Linked DNA regions of Drosophila melanogaster. The protein of the gene in region 2 purifies or fractionates together with the protein of the main gene of each other region. This does not show direct contact. Each region holds a gene or a part of one and is shown on either strand. Other genes may lie near its edges.

Region 1 (8,522 bases), on a different chromosome or scaffold from region 2:
GCAGTGCTTGCGATCCGTTTGTGTCCACAAGTGGGCTAAAGTAGAGGAGACAACCGAGGAATGGCAACAGTTACTGCAAAGTGCACTGGCCACCATTGTGGATCTCACCAAAACGGCTGGCGATAACGAGGAAAGGAAAGTCGACGAGGTCACTATGCTGCTGGCCATCACTGTTTTTATTCTACATACTCCCGCCTCCGTTGTGGCTACACCTTCATTGCAATATCCATGCATTAATCACTTCCGGCAGTGCCTGCAGTCGGAGAACCTCTCGGTGAAGCTGCGCTGCATCGAGACCACGCGATCGATCTTCGCTCGGGCCGAATTGAAGACGGCAACACCCTACATCCACGCACTTGCGCCTAGGATAATCGAATCGTTGTATGCGGAGTCCAGCAAGGTGCCCACAAGCGAACTGGAGCTACAGGTCACCCTGGAGAGCATCGTTACCGTGGAGCAGCTTATAGACTTGTCGGAGCCGCAGAACCGTAAGTAACTGGTTGTATTTGAAAATCATTAAGCTTGGTCCTTCTTTAAATCTCGGGGTACTCCTGTTTGAGAAAGAATACTTAACCTTAAGAACGTGTTTTTGTTTATGTTATATAACTAGATTAAATAATTATACCTTTGGATTTAGGAGGGATATATTTGGAATTATAATTCATGGAAAATAGTGAAAAGTATGAAAGAGGTGGAAGAAAGCGTTTTCGACCCTATAAAGTGTATACATTTTTTTTCAGTATCAGAAGGCAAATCTACTTGGCCGTGTCCATACGTGTCTAACGGATATTAAATAGTCCAGGAACTCGACTATATCATAATTAAATGATTGCTAACTAATAAAAATTGATCATTGATTGATTATAAGGACTTCTTCGAATAATGTTAAATTGTGACTAGAAAGGATAAAATTCGACATAACTTTCATTTGGTGCAGGAGTACCCCATTTTAGAATATAGTTCTAGCAGTTCCCCCTTACCCGCCTTAATAGTTAACACACTCCCCTTTCCAACATAATTAGGCTGTTCTGTCGTATCGATCTGTTTTCTTCAAATATATCTTCGAACGCAGCCAAAGTATTGGTTTAAGTACATTCATTTTAAACTTCACACGATGGGAAGGGAAAACGAAATAAGTTATTATATATTTGCTCTTTTCTCTGTCTTCTCTTTTTATCAAATCACAAATCATTTACAAAACATTAAAAAAAATAATATTTAAAAAAAAACGTTAGGAAACATGAACTTGCTACAAGGTAAATAGAAGAGCTCGATCATAAACTCACACGTTTCATGTCAAAAAAGCGTTTCAGAAATATAAGGCATAACTGTTCACACTTACACACGCGTTGTAAATTTACTCCTTTTTCATCGGTCTGCTAAATGGAAATGAAATTATTTTCCTACCATTAAATATGAACATTCTATTCGTTTTTTTATTTATGTTATCTTAACTGCCTTATAGTCATGAATTGCAACGTTTATTGCACACTCAATGTTTTTCAATGCACCAATCCATAGCATAGTTCCTAGTTCTTGTTGTCAATTAAAATTACGCTTTAAATGTTGCACGTATGAAGTAAAAGTACGGGATGAAGCGACTTGTCCATCTCTGTGAATTGATGTTCCGTTTAGCAAGCCCTTAAACTTAGGATTATAATATTAATTGTTCCTTGTCCACACTTCACAGATATTCAGATGCTGACTCTGTTGGTCCCTGTGCTCATTGGCTTCCTAGCGGAACCCAGTCGACTCCGGACGCTGCCAAAGTATCAACGGCAGCTGCACGACCAGGCGCTGCAGTGGCTACTGAAGATCGGTCCGAAATATCCGCAGGAGTTTAAGGCCCTGATGGGTCAAACACCGGAACTGCGACAAAAACTAGAAGCGGCCATTCGCAGCCAACAGCAGTCGATTAACATTGCCCAAAAAGCAAGCGAGGCGCAGAGGAACCTGCTGGCCAAGCCGCAGAAGCCTACGATCAAGCTGAAGACGGATTTCAGTAACTTCCAATGAGCGCCTCCCCCGGGAATCGAACAAAATAGTTCTCAAGCTGCTAGTGCTATCATAAAAATGCTTTGTAATACATTGTTACCGCATGAACAATAGGATGGATCGGTTCTTTTTATATTGAAAATAAGGTTTAGACAATTTTGCTCTAATAACTAAATATCCGGGATAAAAGTTTTGAAAGGATTGTAAAACGGCAACTAAAATATACATTAGTTTTTTTGACTGCTTGTGTATTAAATTGTTTCGTTTTGCAGGGCGTTTTGCTATAAATATACCTTTTTTCAAACCTAAGCAATATTTTTAAACTACAATCAGAAAAATGAGCCACCCTAATGCACATCGGTCCGGCATTTGATTTTGCTGTATGTGAAATACGTTAAAAGTACCTACAAGTTTATAAATTATTTGTTAGCCATTGTAATGAACTATTATATAACGCGATATGAAGTAAAAAATATAAACTTTTAAAGCTTAAATTAATCAATATTACATATTTACTTATTAGTTCCTATGGAACTGTATATTCCATTTCCAATTCCTGCTTGACTGTATTAATCACTTCATTCTCGCTAAGCGGCTCGGATTTTAGATCATTCTGTGGTGCCGGCTCTGGATCGATTAATTCAACATGTGTACCCATTTTTGCATAATCGTGTTTGGGGCGTGGTAAAGAAACTAATGCTGATGGTAAGTCCGTAAAGAGTTGTGATTCCAAGCGGCTGAGAAGAGTGGTACGATAGAAAAGAGCTTGCAACCGCTTGCGGAAAAGCTGGATGGGTGGTAAAGATTCATTGTATTCGAAGCTACGTGTTTCCGTATCCTTGCGACAATCTCCGGAAAGAATGCATAAGGCTCGAAACCCCATCATAGTTGACCAGTTGGGTGGCAAAAGTGGGCTCTTCATATCACCTTCCTCGTCCGGAAGGTTTCGGATCATGCTGTTGTAGCACTTAAGCACATCATTTGGCATAAATATGTTTTGTAAGAGCGAGGGTCGAATTGGTGGCTTATATGCAAGAGCTCTGATCACGTAGGCAAGGTTATAAACGTCTTTTGGAACTGGAAAAGTTTTTGGAGTGCTCAGCGTCAGATTATAACTAAACTTAAAGAAGTTGCAGAACTCTATATCAACTTTCGAAAGTCTTGAGAAACTCTCTGCCTGTCGCTCGATCCTAGCCTTTTTCGATTTGGGACCGCGCACCCGAGTTCCTTTCGGGGGGTTATCATTAACTAATGACTCTGGGTCCTCTTGCCACTCTTGCAAACGCTGCGCCCAGTTATCAGAGTTAACCAAGGACACCTTCTTCGATCGGCGGCGTGGCAGGTCTTCCACTTTTGCATTGGGATTTTGTTCAAGGAATTTCTTGATGACTAGGAAGCGGGTTCGACAGCTGGTCCGCGTGTGATTGCCCAAGAACGTGGCACAGTTAAGCCACTGGGAAGCCCCGTATTGCGTTACGAAGCTCATCAGCCGTGTGTCGTCCTGAACGGACCAGGAGTCGGTCTTGTTGCGTTGTGCCAGTACATTGTGGTAGCGAGTTCGGAGTTGGGTTAACGACCGGTTTGGGAAAAGAGAACGCGGAAAACAGTGAAACTTTCCATTGTACTCTTCAACGGCGGCGAACAGCATCATGTCCTCCTTGGTAGTGAAGGGTTCTGCAGTTTCAAAGGAGCGAAATAATAAATTAAAAATTATTCAATATATTGGGTACCTACCGTGACTGATGCTAGGATGCAACACGTAGTAGTAACGACCAATCAGCGTTGATTTGGACTTGTCCGGGAAGTATTCCACGACTTTTTTCCAGTTTATTACACTGTTTGCCGTATTCCTATCAACGATCGCCCTTAGTTTATCGTTGTCCTCTTCGCTCCAGCGGTGGCTGTTCTTTGGCTCCAGCAGAAAACGTAGGGCGGTATGAAAGCGTACGAAGCACTGATAGTCGGAACGTCGGTCTAGCGACGCGGCTATCAACTCCCAGTTCTGCATCCTGTTCGCAGTGGCCACCGCCAGTAAAGTTTCGTCCTCCTCGGGTGACCAATCGTCTCGCCTGAGATCTGGTGTTAAGTAGACCCTCCACATTGCCTCACAGCTATATGGTGAGTGCCGATATTCCAAGTCCAGGGTGCTGATCTGGTTCCAGTCGATGCTGAAGCTACTATCCGCAGTTGCCAGCAGACTTACCAGTGTACTTAAGTGTCGCTCGATTGGCTTGCGCTTCAGGCTTCCGCTGGGCAGCGCATTCGTACTGTGGGCCCTATGCTCCAGTAACTGAGAATTGAGTTTTTTATAAAACAGAATATTAGTATTGCTATTTAACTTTTCATTGCTATTAAATGGGTATTTGGCAATCAATCTGAACCACTCGAAGGGTCCACTCACCTGTTGTTTTATACCCATTATCACATTCTTTTTGTCTAGCAATGTCCATACATGTCTGGAGTGCATGTCAAAGTCGGTGGGAAACATCTCCGTGTGGCACCGCGCCTCGTAATCCTCGTTGTTAGGACAGCTTCGACCATCGATGTCTCGGAAAAACAGGTTGCCCTTGAAGCGAAACGTGCCCTTCCGCAGGATCGCCCCGCTAAGATTGAGGGAATTCGGGCCGAAATGGGAACGAGGTCGCAGCCGGCGCACCAGGATGTCCTCGTTCCGAGAGAAGCGGGCCCTTACTACTTGTAACATGGCCAGAATTTTGGTCCGGACTTGCATGAGCCGGCGCTGGAGCTCCTGATTCAGCTGCAGTGCGTTGGCGGCGCTCGGCTTCGCTGTGTTCTGCAAGAGGGCCGAAATCTCGTCCATAAGCTGCTGCTGGTTTATGCGCAGATCATCGGCATCGTCCATTGCTCAGGTTGTTTTGTTTACATTGCCTTTGACTTTAGCGATGAACTATTCCCGGCATCAACTATCGATAAAATGGTTGCAATGGTCGAACTGCATTAAGCAAATTAATACCCTGCAAATAAAGTAACATTGAACATTACATAGGAAATTGCTGTATTATTGGACTAAGACCTATTAAAGAATAGATAGAGATAAAATAGATATCATAACTGCCATTTTTCGTCCTTATTTATTCCCAGAAACTTTGGTTTTATCTAGTGGAAAGAACATGATTTCAATAAACTCAGTTGTAAAAGCGCGGGATTATTTTAAACAAAAGTTTGGTCAAAAATAGTTTTTTAGAATAAAGATCTTAAAACTATCCGCCATGCACTAAATAATGATACCCTTGGTAACAAAAAATATTTAGTATGTCAAAATGTTTTGTAATTTTAATTTTTTTATGTTGTATAACGTGATCTGTAGAAACTATTAATGTATTCCGATTTTTGTTAAGCCTTTCATACGCCCTCAAATTGGCGAAAATTTGGGTAGATTTAATATCAGCTGTTGTCAAACTCGCAACCAAGCCTGAGTACACCTAATTAGGTGAGCATCTCAAGGAAAAACGATATTCAACACTAGTCGAAATTGGCGAATCAGCAGTGACCGATGACAATACCAATCGCCTATCGCTGCTGCTCGAGAAACAACAAAAGAGAACAGAGAAAAAAAAACGCGTAGTAGCAACTTAATTAACAAAATTCGTGGTGAATGCGCTAGCATAACATGGAAGATGTCCCGGTCAAGATAGTCGAGCGCTACAAACCACCGCCTGCCGTGTACCACCTGCCGCAGGCGACCCTCAATCGCCTGTCGCAATTCCGAGAAGGTTTCTACACGGATCATCCGGATTACCAGTATGACTGTCAGCTGGAGAGGGCCGTGCTGAGTCAGGCGCAACGATGGCGCCACCTGCGTCGCCAGCAGCGCGAGGAGCGAGCCAGTCGCCAGGAGCGTCGCAAGGAGGAACGCCAACGGGCGCTGGAGGCGAGACAGAAGGAGATGCTTGGAGCAGTTGATTATCCTAGTGCGGACGACTTGTCATCGGATGAGGACGAGAAGGAGCGAAAGAAGAACGAGCCCGAGCAGAGGGACGAGGAACAGCAACAGCAGCCACCACCTCCAATCACCGCTGAGTCACGCGACTCTTCCCACGAACCAAAGTCAATAAGTGTGTGTAATTTTCACAATATCTTGCAGCCCACCATTCTGAGCACCACTCCAGTGGTCAGTCCGCAGACGCTGCACAAGCGTAACAGCTCCCTAAACTACGCAGACTTTGAGTACAATATGAACTCCACACCTTTCGACAATATCGAGCTGAAGACCATCAACGATCTAGACATACTAGCTCAGGTTCTGCACCAGACACAGCTGGAGAAGCGCATAGATCAACAGCAGCAGGATCAGCAGCAGCAGGAGCCGCCGCATGAGGATCATTCCAAGGAGGAGCAATCTGGCAATGAAGTGCCAGCTCCGGTGGAGCTAGCAATGACTACGCTGGCGGAGACCAAAGCGACGCTCGACAGCGTCAATTTCCATGTTCACTGTGATGATAATGCGGACAGGGGCGAGCCAAGCCACATTCCAACCACGGCTCAATACCTAACGCCCATGTACAGCGCTTCCGCCCAGCAGCCGTTGCATAAACCGGAACACTTTCAGGTGGGACACTTTTAACTAGTTAAAGAGCCTTAATAATATGTTAACTTGATTCTTTTGAATGTCACACTATCCTTGTATTCTCAAAATCCAATCCTCATTACTCATTAAATTGTAATAAAAGAGGAAATTGTTCATTCACTCACAGTATACCATTTAATCGGGATGATTTCTGAGCATTTGCAGGTAGATTACCTAAAAATAAATAACTCATCACAAGTCGAGGGTGGGGCTATTGCTCAAACTAATTAGTACCACAATTGAGGGTGTAATATATTTTGACTGAGCTTGAGTACGATCTTAGCATGGTCTTATAAACCAAGTATTAGTCCGATACCCAATATTTTATTTCAATCGAAAATAAGTTTTTTTCAGACGCTCCGATTTAAAATATGGGCTAATTATTATTTTCGCAGGTGTACCACATGCAGGGCTACAGTCACCAGCCCTTCTACCCTCCGCAGCAGCATTCTTTCCAACAGTTTAGCAACTACCAAGTCAATGGATTCGGGACTCAAAACCTTTTGAAGGCTCCTCCAGCGCCTTCCTCCGTGCATGCGCTCAGCCAGTCGGAGGACGAGGTAGCCACGAAGTCAAGGAGTGTGCCTGACATCCTGCGGGAGCTGAAGACGGAGCTGCAGCAGGCGGAGAAGCGTCGTACCCGCCTGCACAGTCACAACGCGGAGCAGCAGCCAACGGTGGAGTTGGCAGTGGACAGAAACTCCTTTAGGGAGCTGGCTGGTCCGGCACAGAAGTTGGCCCAACGTATCAGTACTATGGGTTTCCCTCTGGAACGGGTGGCAAAGGTGGTTAGTCTATGCGGTATCGACGATAAGAAGGTAAGTCAGTTTCGAAAACTTTTGCAAAATGCATTATTCCGATCTGGGACGTCTTTTCAGATTATCGAACACCTTATTCCACTGGGAGAACTTCTGGACCTCGGTTTTGACGAATCGAAAATCTCGGCGGCGCTACTCAAGTTCAACAATAATAAGGACAAGGCGCTGGACTATCTAATCAACTAGTATAATTTAGTGGAAACCTTTTGTACGGCCGGCTTTTACCCCCATGCCCAAACTCCGCAATCCCACCCCAATTAGCTTACAAAGATGACTCCTCTAAACGTATATTTAATTATTAAAAGTTATTAAGAGATATTCCTTGCTTAAGTTGGGAGTTTAATGCTTCAGAATCCTCAGCAGCAGAATAAATATAAGTCCGTAAAGTAAGCACATTATGTTGGCTTTTTAGTCAATTCCGATCCTTATTAATTCATGCTCAGCATAAGCAGATTAATAGCGTGTTCCACATTCCCATCGGAAAGTTCTAGATAACTAACGTTCTGAGTGTGATTAATGAAGCCCATGGCGGCCATGGTACGCAGTTGTTCGGTGAACCGATGGCGACGGTAGCGGCGTGGCAGCACATCACTGTCGTCTCCACCATCGTCCTCGTCATCTACATCATCGGCTGGTGCTGTGGCGGCTTGCTCTGGTACTGGTCCTTCTCCGGACTCCACCTCCATGTTCTCCACAGGCGCCGGTTGATCCTGCGACAGGGACTGAAAAGCGCGGGCCAGCTCGTTGCGGAGCAACTCTGAGGATATGGATCCGCTGCTGATGGCTCCACTGCTGCTTCCTGCGCCTGTTCCCGCTGCTCCTCCAACGCCTGCTAATGGCGCCGAGGTGGTTCTAGGTCTTTCATCACCCTGCACGGCCTCGTCCGCGTTTCTCTGCGCAATATTCGACAGTGAATTAAACGGGGTCACGTTAGCCAATGCGTTAGCCAGTTGCTGGCGGCTAATCTGACGGATGTTGGCCATCTCATCACGCCGATTGGCGGCCGCGGCAGCTGCCACGGCTGTGCTGCTGCTTCCACCACTGCTGCTGCTGCCTGCACCCAGAGAGTTTTCCTCCTCTGACGAAGTAGTAGACTCCGAAGCAGCTTGCTCCTGCACTAA
Region 2 (9,856 bases):
CCAGATGGTTTAGTAACACTAGGGTGTCAATCGCGACTGCATCCCTGGAAACTATCGATTTGCCGATAACAGGCGTTAAACGACGCGCGATTCCCAATCAAACTGAGTAAACATTTAATTTAATCAACGTAGTTTCAATAACGCCAAGATGTCGCACCTGATGCCCCGGCGGACCAGCGAGTTCCGTGGCGATGTACTGGAGGAGCGAGGCACTGCCGATAAGCGGCAAACCAGGTGAGCATCGAAATCCAACTGATCAAATCTTGTCAACGATGCAAATGCGTATCCTTTTCCAGGGCAACAAAGCGGAGCGCAGCCACGCACACTCCGTCCTCCAGCCAGGCGGCACCCAGAAGGTATGCACAACCATTTGATTATCGAAGGCACAACCAGTAATGTTTGAATCCAATCCGCATAGGCCGTCCGCATCGCGTCTGCCGCAGCCGCTGAACTTGGAGCGCGATCGGGCCAGTCAAATGGGCGTGACGCCCAAGCGAGGCCACCGGTTTGTGCCCTCCACTGCGGAGCGCGCCATTGCGCCACACTCCGACAAGAAATGGGTGGCGGAGAGGGCACAGCAGATCCTGGAATACCTACATGGCATTCAGAACAGCGAGGCGCCCACTGGACTTATTGCGGATCTATTCAGTCGGCCCGGGGGTTTGCGACACATGACCATCAAGCAATTTGTTTCCATTCTCAACTTTATGTTCCACCACATCTGGCGAAATCGCGTGACAGTGGGCCAGAACCATGTCGAGGATATTACCAGCGCAATGCAAAAGCTACAGTATCCTTATCAGGTAAGCAACTCGGATGCTCTTAGGTTTCCAGTGTTCGTTTAATTCTTAAATCCACTTGTGACTTGCAGGTGAACAAATCATGGCTTGTATCGCCAACAACACAGCATTCATTCGGCCATGTGATCGTTCTGCTGGACTTTCTCATGGACTTTTTACCGCCTCTGCCCTCGTCGGATGTGGTGGAGGAGGAGTTTCCGTTTATGGAAACCATGGAGCAGCCCAGCTCGTATCTGAATAGCATGCACTGCGAGTCGACGACCATCATGTCCACCACACAGGCGCACGCCATTCAGCTAGATGAAGACGTCAATGGTCTGCTCTTCGAAGAGGCTAGCAAATGCATTGCCTTGTGGGATCAGGAGCTTACCAATGAGGAGGCCAAGCTGCAGGCGGAGACCAGGGATCAGGTGATCAGCAAGAAGTGTGATTTGCCCGATCGCAAAGCCTTAGACCAGCTAATCGGCGATCTGAAGACGAAACTACAGCAACTGGAGAATAAGTTGCATGATCCCAGTGAAGACAATAAACTGAACAAACTGGAACGTCTTACCAAAGAGCACGATCAGCTTGCCCAACAGCTAGCTGCCAGTGAAGAGGAGCTGATCAAGAAACTGAAGTTATACGAACAGCTGTCTGCCCAGGTAGAAGAAAAACAGTCTAATCTCCGCCAGCAAATGAAGTATGAAAAGCGTCTGGAGCAGGCGGTTAACAGGCAGAAGTTCTCCGCCCAGCAGCTAAAGGAGCTTCAAATGAAGTGCGACGATATGGAAAACTACTCCAAGGCTTATGAGCGCCAGGTGAAGGAGGTGTCCGAGCTGGAGCTGCATCAGCAGGTGATGCTGTCGCGCGCCAAGCAAAAGCAACTGGATTCCGTTGAGGTCTTTAACTCGCACGTGCGCCACCTGAGCATGGACCCGGTGATTTGTGGCCTGATAAAGAGCGGCATTGGCCAGCAATCGGACCTTACTCTGCCACTAAATCCCAATCAAGAGGACATCTCGGAGAGGGTGCAGTGCCTGGAGTTGCTGGGCAAACTTCTGCAACAGCACCGCCAGCAGAATATCGATCGGCGTCAGATGTTGGACAAGCAGGTGGCCAAGGTAAAGTCTGATTCCATCGAGTTAGACACCGAAATCGCCACCATGGACTCTCAGTTGCGGGCGCAGAAACAGCGTCTGACCAAAATGGAGGCCAGTTATCGGACCAAGCGCGACATGCAGGCGCAGCACAGGCAACAGCTGCTCGAGGATCAGTACGACCAGACCGCCCGTCTGGATGAGTTGGAGAAGAGGGAGAAGCAGGCGCTGGAAAAGCTGGAAGCCAGCAAGCAACGGAACGAGGATCTACTCACCGCTGCTGAGCAGTTTCAGGAGCAGGATCTCAAGGCCCGCCAAGATCGCCTGGAAAAATGCGAGCAGAAGCTGGCCAAAGCGGAGGACCAGCTGCTCGCCGTGGAATCAAAGGTCAACGCGACTCAGGCCAAGCTGAACGAGGTGGAGCAAAAGGTGTACTCCGCCAAGCTGCCATCCTTTCAGCCCGTGCTAGATGCCATCAAGAATCATTGATTTGATCCGGATGTTTTGTTGTAGTCCAGTTGATCTGTAAGGAATTTATTAAAGAGTATTCTTTGTTTTCAAATTAAAAAAGACAATGAAGCTGTCTGCAATGTTCAATGTTTTATGTTTTATGAAATGCATTTATTTTTGATTACATTTGAATTAGGTAAATTGAGTTGAACACAGCGGTTCCTGGACAAAGGAGGGGATGATACTCCATAATATCAGATTTCTTAAGTTCTTTATTGCCACACGTATTACGGATTTCATTACGGATCTCCGCTGCCTTTTTTGGGATTACAAATTGCACTTGGAACGGTTTAGCTTTACATGGTTATACATATGTATACACTGAGTGGTGGGTAAATACGGCAAGGGTAACTTAAGCGTAGGTATCTATAAATATTAAATAATATTATCATTTGGCCAATTTTGTGTAGTTTAGCGTGCGATTGACTTGTGCCACAAAAAAGTTGCAGGGAAACGTTTGCATTTATTGCTATTAAATTAATTAATTTGGATATTTCATTTGTGTGCGCTTTTTTCGTATTCGTAGATATATATTTTGTCATTTTTGGGCTTAAAATAAACGAAAATGAGGTATTATTTCAATTAGTAGTGATGTATCTCATAGTATATTGTCGCTCGATCATAAATCCTAGGTTTCTGTGTACCACAAGTCAACCAACTACAGAATATGTATGGGTATACAAAAAAATAGGGGGGAAGTTCGAGTAGTAGTTATAAATTCAACATTGAGACTGAGACAATATGTTGTGTAATAAATAAATATCATTTAGCTTAGTTCAATTCTATACAATGACCCCGATAGTGCTAACGTCCTCAGACAATGAAGACATCGCCACTGCTGCGCTCCACGGCCGAGGTGGCCACATCGCCGCCACATCCTGGCCGACCGGCTTGGCTTGCAGCCGCAATCTTGGGCTCCTCCGATTGCGCAGTTTTGTCCAACAGCTCCGCCTCGCGTCCAATCTCGACGATGCCTTGCGGCTTGTCGCAGCTGACGCTCTGTGACTCGTGCGACTCGTGTGCCTCTTCCTGGCCAGCCAGGTGGATGCTGACTCCCGCCACGTCAAGGTCTTCGACGTCCTTATGATTCTGGAATGTAACTGAGATCTCTTGGGCTGCAGCTCCTTCGCTTACATCCCCTTCCTGCCCATTCGAGCTGCTGGTCGCAGGCCCTGCATTTGTTGCATTGGGCGGGGCCGTCGTGATGGATGACCACCAGCTGGAGAAGGCGCCCTTGGCCTGGGATATGGCACCGCCCACTGCACGACTCGTCGTGTTTACCGCCTGGTTGATTTTTCGCCCACTCTCGCTATTTTGCATGGTTCTGCAAATTTCAAGTGTTTAGAAACTTAGTTCCCCTTCGGTATGGATTTCAGGATTTTAACCGCTTACTGTGCTAGTTTTAGTTTCATGTCCGCCACGGACAAGGTGCCGGCGAAGGGATGACCAGCGGGCAGGGCCTCAAAGAACTCGGGTTCGGGCCTAACGTCGTACCATTCCTGAAAGCATTGGGTGCGCTTGAAGGCGCCCATGAAGTGCGCATTGAAATGATCGTTGTCCTTTGGCGTGGCATCTGTAAACAAACAAATTTACATTTACATTTGATGGTTCAACTAAAAGCTAACAAAGATTGCACACACCTGGAGCCACAGCAGTTCGCAAGAGTGCGAGAATATAGCCCTGAAACTGCTCCCGTATCCAGTACTCGCTGCCCTCGGCATCCTCCTTTGGCGATTGCACATGCTTCATGATGTAGTCCATGTAGCGCAGATCCTCGGTGCTCAGCACCAGCTGACGCCTGAGCTCCGGATCGTGGGCATCCAGATTGGCCGCCTCGATGTCCACCAGGACGTCAGCCAGCTGACGTTTCTGCTGGAAAAGCACGTTGGAGGTGCCGATGACATAGGAGAGCACCATGGGATCGCTGAGCAGGTCCATGTACGGTAGCGACAGATACGGCAGGCAGAGGTTGCCGCTGGCGAAGATGCTGACCGGTGCCCGATACTCATCCGGATTGACAGCGCACAAGGCGGCGAGGTTGGCTATGGACGAAACATTTACACGGATCAGTTAACTGCGTCATACGTAATATTTAATGTCTGCACGCTCCTATCTCCTATCTAGAATGATTCACTTATATGGCATGATATGTATAAGAATAAACGCAATAACAAAGGTTACAATTGACTAAAATGTGCCTAAATCTGCTAGTTACGCCAAACACGGGGATAGACTTCTTGGGCTACTCACACGCTAGTGTGTCCACGCTGGCCTCTCTGGTCAGCGAGCTGTTCCTGCCGTTCGATGAGTCCTGCGACTGTGAGTTGGGCGTGGAACGCGTCGACGTGTCATCGCCACTGACCTGCTCCTCGCCCGCCGACGCTGCGGATGAGACGAGGGCCAGCTCTTCGGCCTCGCCCTCCACCGCTGTGGCGCTCTCGGGCGTCAGTTTCTGCTCATCGGTGGCAGCTGCTACGGAAGCCACTGCCTCCAGTTCCGCTTCGGCTTCGGCCTGCGCCTCCCGCTGCAGGGAGTCAGTGAAATCCGGCATGGGCGACAGGGGACGCGACGTGCGCACACAGGCCACCTCCTGGAAGCCCTTCTCCAGCAGCCGCGGCACCAGCGATGCCATGCCCAGGATCAGCACACACATTTGGCGTACGGGCGAACCGAAACACACCACTCGTCGCTGCAGCAGCATTAGTTTGAAGAGCATTAGCGTCTTGTGGCGCCAGTGGAGTACGATCTCGCGCAGCGACAGCCCCACGTGAAAGTGGCGCAACGGGCGGCGCGACTCGTCGTCCTGGAGGCAGGCATTTAGCTGCTGATAGGCCTTGGCCAGCAGTTCCGTGCCGGAGAAGTCGCCCTGATCGAAAAAGGCATCGGCAATGAGGGCTAGCTTCACCTCGATGTACCCGTAGATGGGCAGGCGGGCCAATATGCAAACGGACTTCTGAACGGTGCTGCGCGTGAGGTCCGCTGTCCGGATCTTTAGCTTCTCCACGCGTATCTGGCGATAGCAGGACACGCCGTAGATACTCTCAGCCGGCTCATACAAACTGGGCAGGTTGAAGAACACCGTGTCCTCGGCAAAGTTATGCGAGCCGTCGGGCAGAGCCAGAGTGGGCAGGTACTTCCAGCCGGAGGGGCATTCGTTGCGTCCCGTGGAGCCCGAGATTAGCGGCGGATGCGAGAACTCCACCTGGCAGCCCAGCTTGTGGTGGAAGCCCACCACGAGGATGTGCAGGATCGGTGGCTTGTTCTCCGGCTCGCTGGCCATCGTTGGTCGTTATCCTTGTACCAAGGAGCAAGCGGTGTCCACAAAAAATGCGTTTTTTGCCTGCAAAATGAATATCCAATTGGATTGGCCACTACCACATCGGCCCTCTCGCTCGCACTCGTGTAACCACGCCACGCAATTGTTGTTCTATTCGGACCACGGCGCACTTATTTTGTGTTGCAATTATCTATCTGTCGTATTTAACTTTCTTTCTTTACGATTTCCAAGCGATTTTGTTTTTATTCTATTTTCTTGTTTGTGATAGCGTATCGATATCAGGAGGCGTTATTTTGTACTCCAATTAGATGTGCATTTGCCGGTTATCGATATGTTTCGCTTCGACCAACGGCATTATCGACTACACCAGTACGAAAATTGGCGGTTACTTTTGAATTTGAAATAACCATTGAAGAATTAGAATCACGCTAATATGAACGAAAATAAAACTTCACAGTGTAATTTGTTTTTGTATCTCATTAATCTTTATTAAGAAACAATACAAGAAATATATTTACTTTAAATACAAGATAAAATACTATTCAGAAAAAAAGGATAATTAAATTTTTTGATTTTAATGAGTGAAGTTACAAGTTTCACGAGATCAGAATTAATGCATGGTAAAAAAATGTATTTACTTTTATACAAAAATACCCGTAAGCATCATCCAACTTACCAAAATCGAAACTATCATTACGAGTATGTTGAAATAGTTGTAACATTTTGGTTTTAGTCGCGATTTTGTTGGCTTGACTACTGATACACATTTCCAAGTGTCAACAAGCCGAAAATTAAGTCAAAAACAAATTCTGAAAATAAACGTGTAATACTATACATATAGTAGACGGAGCATTAGGTACTATATAGCCAGACTGTGTATGATGGCTCTGTTCTTAAACGTTTTTATATTTTCTGCTGTTTTCATCTTGGGGTTTCTTCTATGTGTCTTTTTTCTTATGGATTTTTCCGTTGTTTCCTTTTCCCCAATTTTTTTTTGCTTTTTTTAATTGGTCTGTTTTCATTTCATTTAATTTAGTTAGAGCGTATTTTTAAATCGAACATCCAACATATAGATTCTAAAATTGGCACACATCGCTTGTTTGTTCTTTACAAAATATGTTTGCTTGACCTGATCTTATTCATTGAAAAGTTTATGAATTATATATTTTAACTTTAAACTGGAAAGTGCATTGATTTAATGTGTTAAATACATTTAAGTTTATAATAGGAAGCTCTTACTATTCTGGTCACTAAAATCTAAAATTGAAAAGAACATATTTCAGAATTTTAACTGTTTTCTTGCATCATACACAGTAGAAAAAAAATGCAAGTGACACAGCCAACAATAGCTTATTATTTAAGATTGCACCGATTGCAATCAATTCAAATTATTCGACACTTTGGATACGCTGTTCATTCATATAATCCCAGGGCCATCGTTCTTGTCTGAAATCAAATATTTTTCCAGATCTTGGATAATGTTTATGTTATTCCTGATCTATGCAGATATTAGCCACAGTTCCCCGTAAACATCGCCCCAGAAAGCTAACCTATAGATAGACATATAGAAGATATTTAAACAAATACATATACATACTTTAATATATATATATATATATATATATTTTTTATATCGGGCATCTTCGTGCATACGATCGGCACTAAAAACCGAAGGCTACAGACGAATAGCGCCCACACAAAACGTCCAAAAATAGAACAACAAAAATTCGAAACTGTGCTATTTGTTATTCCCTGATTTTCGAATATTCTGACTTGCCTTTCTAACATTCTGATATTCGGACATTCAGAAGATGATGCGAATTGAAATTTACTTGAATACGGCATACGGCATACCCGACTTTCCACCCACTTTCACGCCCACATATGTATATATCTGCACATGTCCGTACTTCTGGTCTACGGATCACTGAGCTATTTGGCCCGATGTTTGCAATAGGTTCGTAGTTGTTTATTGAACGGAGGATGTTATGTGAATCCAGCCAGATGGCAGGCAAAAATTGGAAGCAGCTAAAAAAGCGCTTACAGATGTCGTTTATATCTGGACAGAACACGCCCGTACCATTTCATGCACTAAATCCCAGATAACTCGAACTGCCCACCTGTGTCCCATTGCGATTCTGTAGTTTTGTGGTTTTTGGCAAGCCATGCATAATACCTAGACCCATACATATCACATACACATACATATCTAATTATCTATGCATACATATCTATCTATCTGCGTATCTGGTGTGTGCATTTTGCATTTCGCAGAGGTGCAGATACAAAAATGTTCTAAATTTAAGATACTTGGTAACCAAAAACGAAATCAAAACAAATGCCGAAACTTTGCGACTATATAGTAATTTTACTATTGGAGAATATTGTAATATATATAATTTTAAAATAATATTCATCGCATGTTTTTAATTTACACAGAAGTCTATTTATTTGAACAACTTGTTTATGCAAGGAATTAAGAGAAGTCTTAAATTAATTTTTCTATAATCATATATAATGTAATGTAATCATAATATAATGTAATGTAATCATATATAATGTAATCATGTATGTATAAAAATTTTTACCCAGATTTTGAGGAACTTTGAGATAGCCCAAATATTTTTTTTTGCAGTATTAATAATTTAAGAAGATACAAGTGCAAGCGAAAAACTAAAAATTTTTTTTTTTTTTTATATTCTTCTAGAATTTATATCTAATTTTATGAAAAATTTGGCAAAAAAAAAAACAACGGAAATCGATGTTGATGAAAGTACATTTTTAAAATATTGTAAGTTTTTGCTTTATTTTAATTTTATTAATACTAGAATACAGAAACAAAATTAAATACAGAACAAAATATGTTTCACTACCCTTACTTAATACAAATATTTCTTATGTGTTATGATGTTTATTAAACGATATGAAAAAATTAATTTTTTTGGCAAAATTTACATATAGGAAAAAGAGATTTTGTCAAATTCTTCAAATTGATTTTGTATGCTTCGAAAAAATAACCCAATAAAGAATGAATTAAATTCGATAGCTTAAAGTGCTGCAAGGCGCGTAAGTGTATCTGAAACTATTTGCCAAAAGTATCTGTTAGAAAGTAAAATAAAAAAAATAGCATAGAAAAAGGAGAGAAATAAAAAAAGAAAATCGGAACAATGACGAATAGATTCAAGTGTTAGACAAATGGCAATGCGATGGGGCCACCTAAGGCCGTTCGACGTCAGCAGTTCGATCGCGATATAGATATAGGTAAATAAATATATATATATATATATATATATATAGGGGGTGATCGGTGATCGCGGCGGACTGGGTTGGAGATTTTGTAGGGCGTGCACTCTGGGGTTCAAATGCTGCAACGATCCGCTGAGGAATCCAAACTATATGTGCTATATATCGGCACGAACATCTGTACGTATATATTATAGAGCAATATATGCAGGCCGACTTTTTAATGGCTGTGAAATTTATGCTCTACGATATTTGATTCCAAAAACAAATGTGTAAAATGCCGCCAACGCACCGAACGTCCGTATGCGCTATATACTTATTGTATGATCTAGTTATGTGCGTGCGCCATTATGGTCTAATGTATAGTATATACTAATATCGTATGCCTCATCTCGCTCTGGCCAAAATGGAAAATTGGAAAACTCGACGGCGGCTGTGTGCGTGTACAAGTTTATGTTTCAGCTGCAGCCCACCTGAAAAATTCACCCAAAACACATCGAACACAGCCAACACAGGCAGGCGCACCCACCACCACCCACTTGTTGCCACATCGGCCAGCGATATGTGGCATATAGCGCTGGCCTGCTCGCACACATGGCCAGCTATTGGCTATATAGAAAGGCGATCGGTGTGTGCGTGGAAATGGCTTTTCCGCGAACGCGACGAAAAATTCTTTAACATAACGTGTAGCAGCGCTTTTCATCGTCAGTTTGGTTAGTCGAACCGCAGCATTCGCTCCTACGACGTCAGCTGCTCGGACTTCAATTCAATTTGTTTTTCTCCCTAAGTAAGTTTTTTTTTTTCTGTTTCTGCTCTACTGCTGCTTCACATCTCCTTCAAATGCTGCATCACCAAAAAAATAAAAAGAAAATATAAAATAAACTTGTGTGCCTAAAAACGAAAAGAAAGTTATCGAAAACGAGAAAACCGAATCCTTTGCGAATAAA

Evidence for each region.
Region 1: the proteins of CG11178 (region 2) and Pbp95 purify together in Drosophila melanogaster (affinity purification with mass spectrometry, with the first as the bait; one large-scale study listed by BioGRID). This does not show direct contact.

Annotation. Positions count from the first base shown.
Region 1 is NT_033777.3:8,010,174-8,018,695, reverse strand, and holds Pbp95 (PSEA-binding protein 95kD), read right to left. Parts: upstream 4,906-8,522; 5' UTR 4,859-4,905; coding exon 4,397-4,858; intron 4,286-4,396; coding exon 3,730-4,285; intron 3,670-3,729; coding exon 2,522-3,669; 3' UTR 2,086-2,521; downstream 1-2,085. Other genes in the region: CG2747 (uncharacterized protein), read left to right, coding at 1-488, 1,236-1,256, 1,691-2,016; CG10435 (uncharacterized protein), read left to right, coding at 5,627-6,565, 6,979-7,401, 7,462-7,587; CG3223 (uncharacterized protein), read right to left, coding at 7,830-8,518.
Region 2 is NC_004354.4:13,602,258-13,612,113, reverse strand, and holds CG11178 (uncharacterized protein), read right to left. Parts: upstream 6,434-9,856; 5' UTR 6,343-6,433; intron 6,116-6,342; 5' UTR 5,670-6,115; coding exon 4,640-5,669; intron 4,432-4,639; coding exon 4,030-4,431; intron 3,963-4,029; coding exon 3,782-3,962; intron 3,714-3,781; coding exon 3,203-3,713; 3' UTR 2,585-3,202; downstream 1-2,584. Other genes in the region: Ndc80, read left to right, coding at 149-234, 297-356, 419-803, 872-2,368.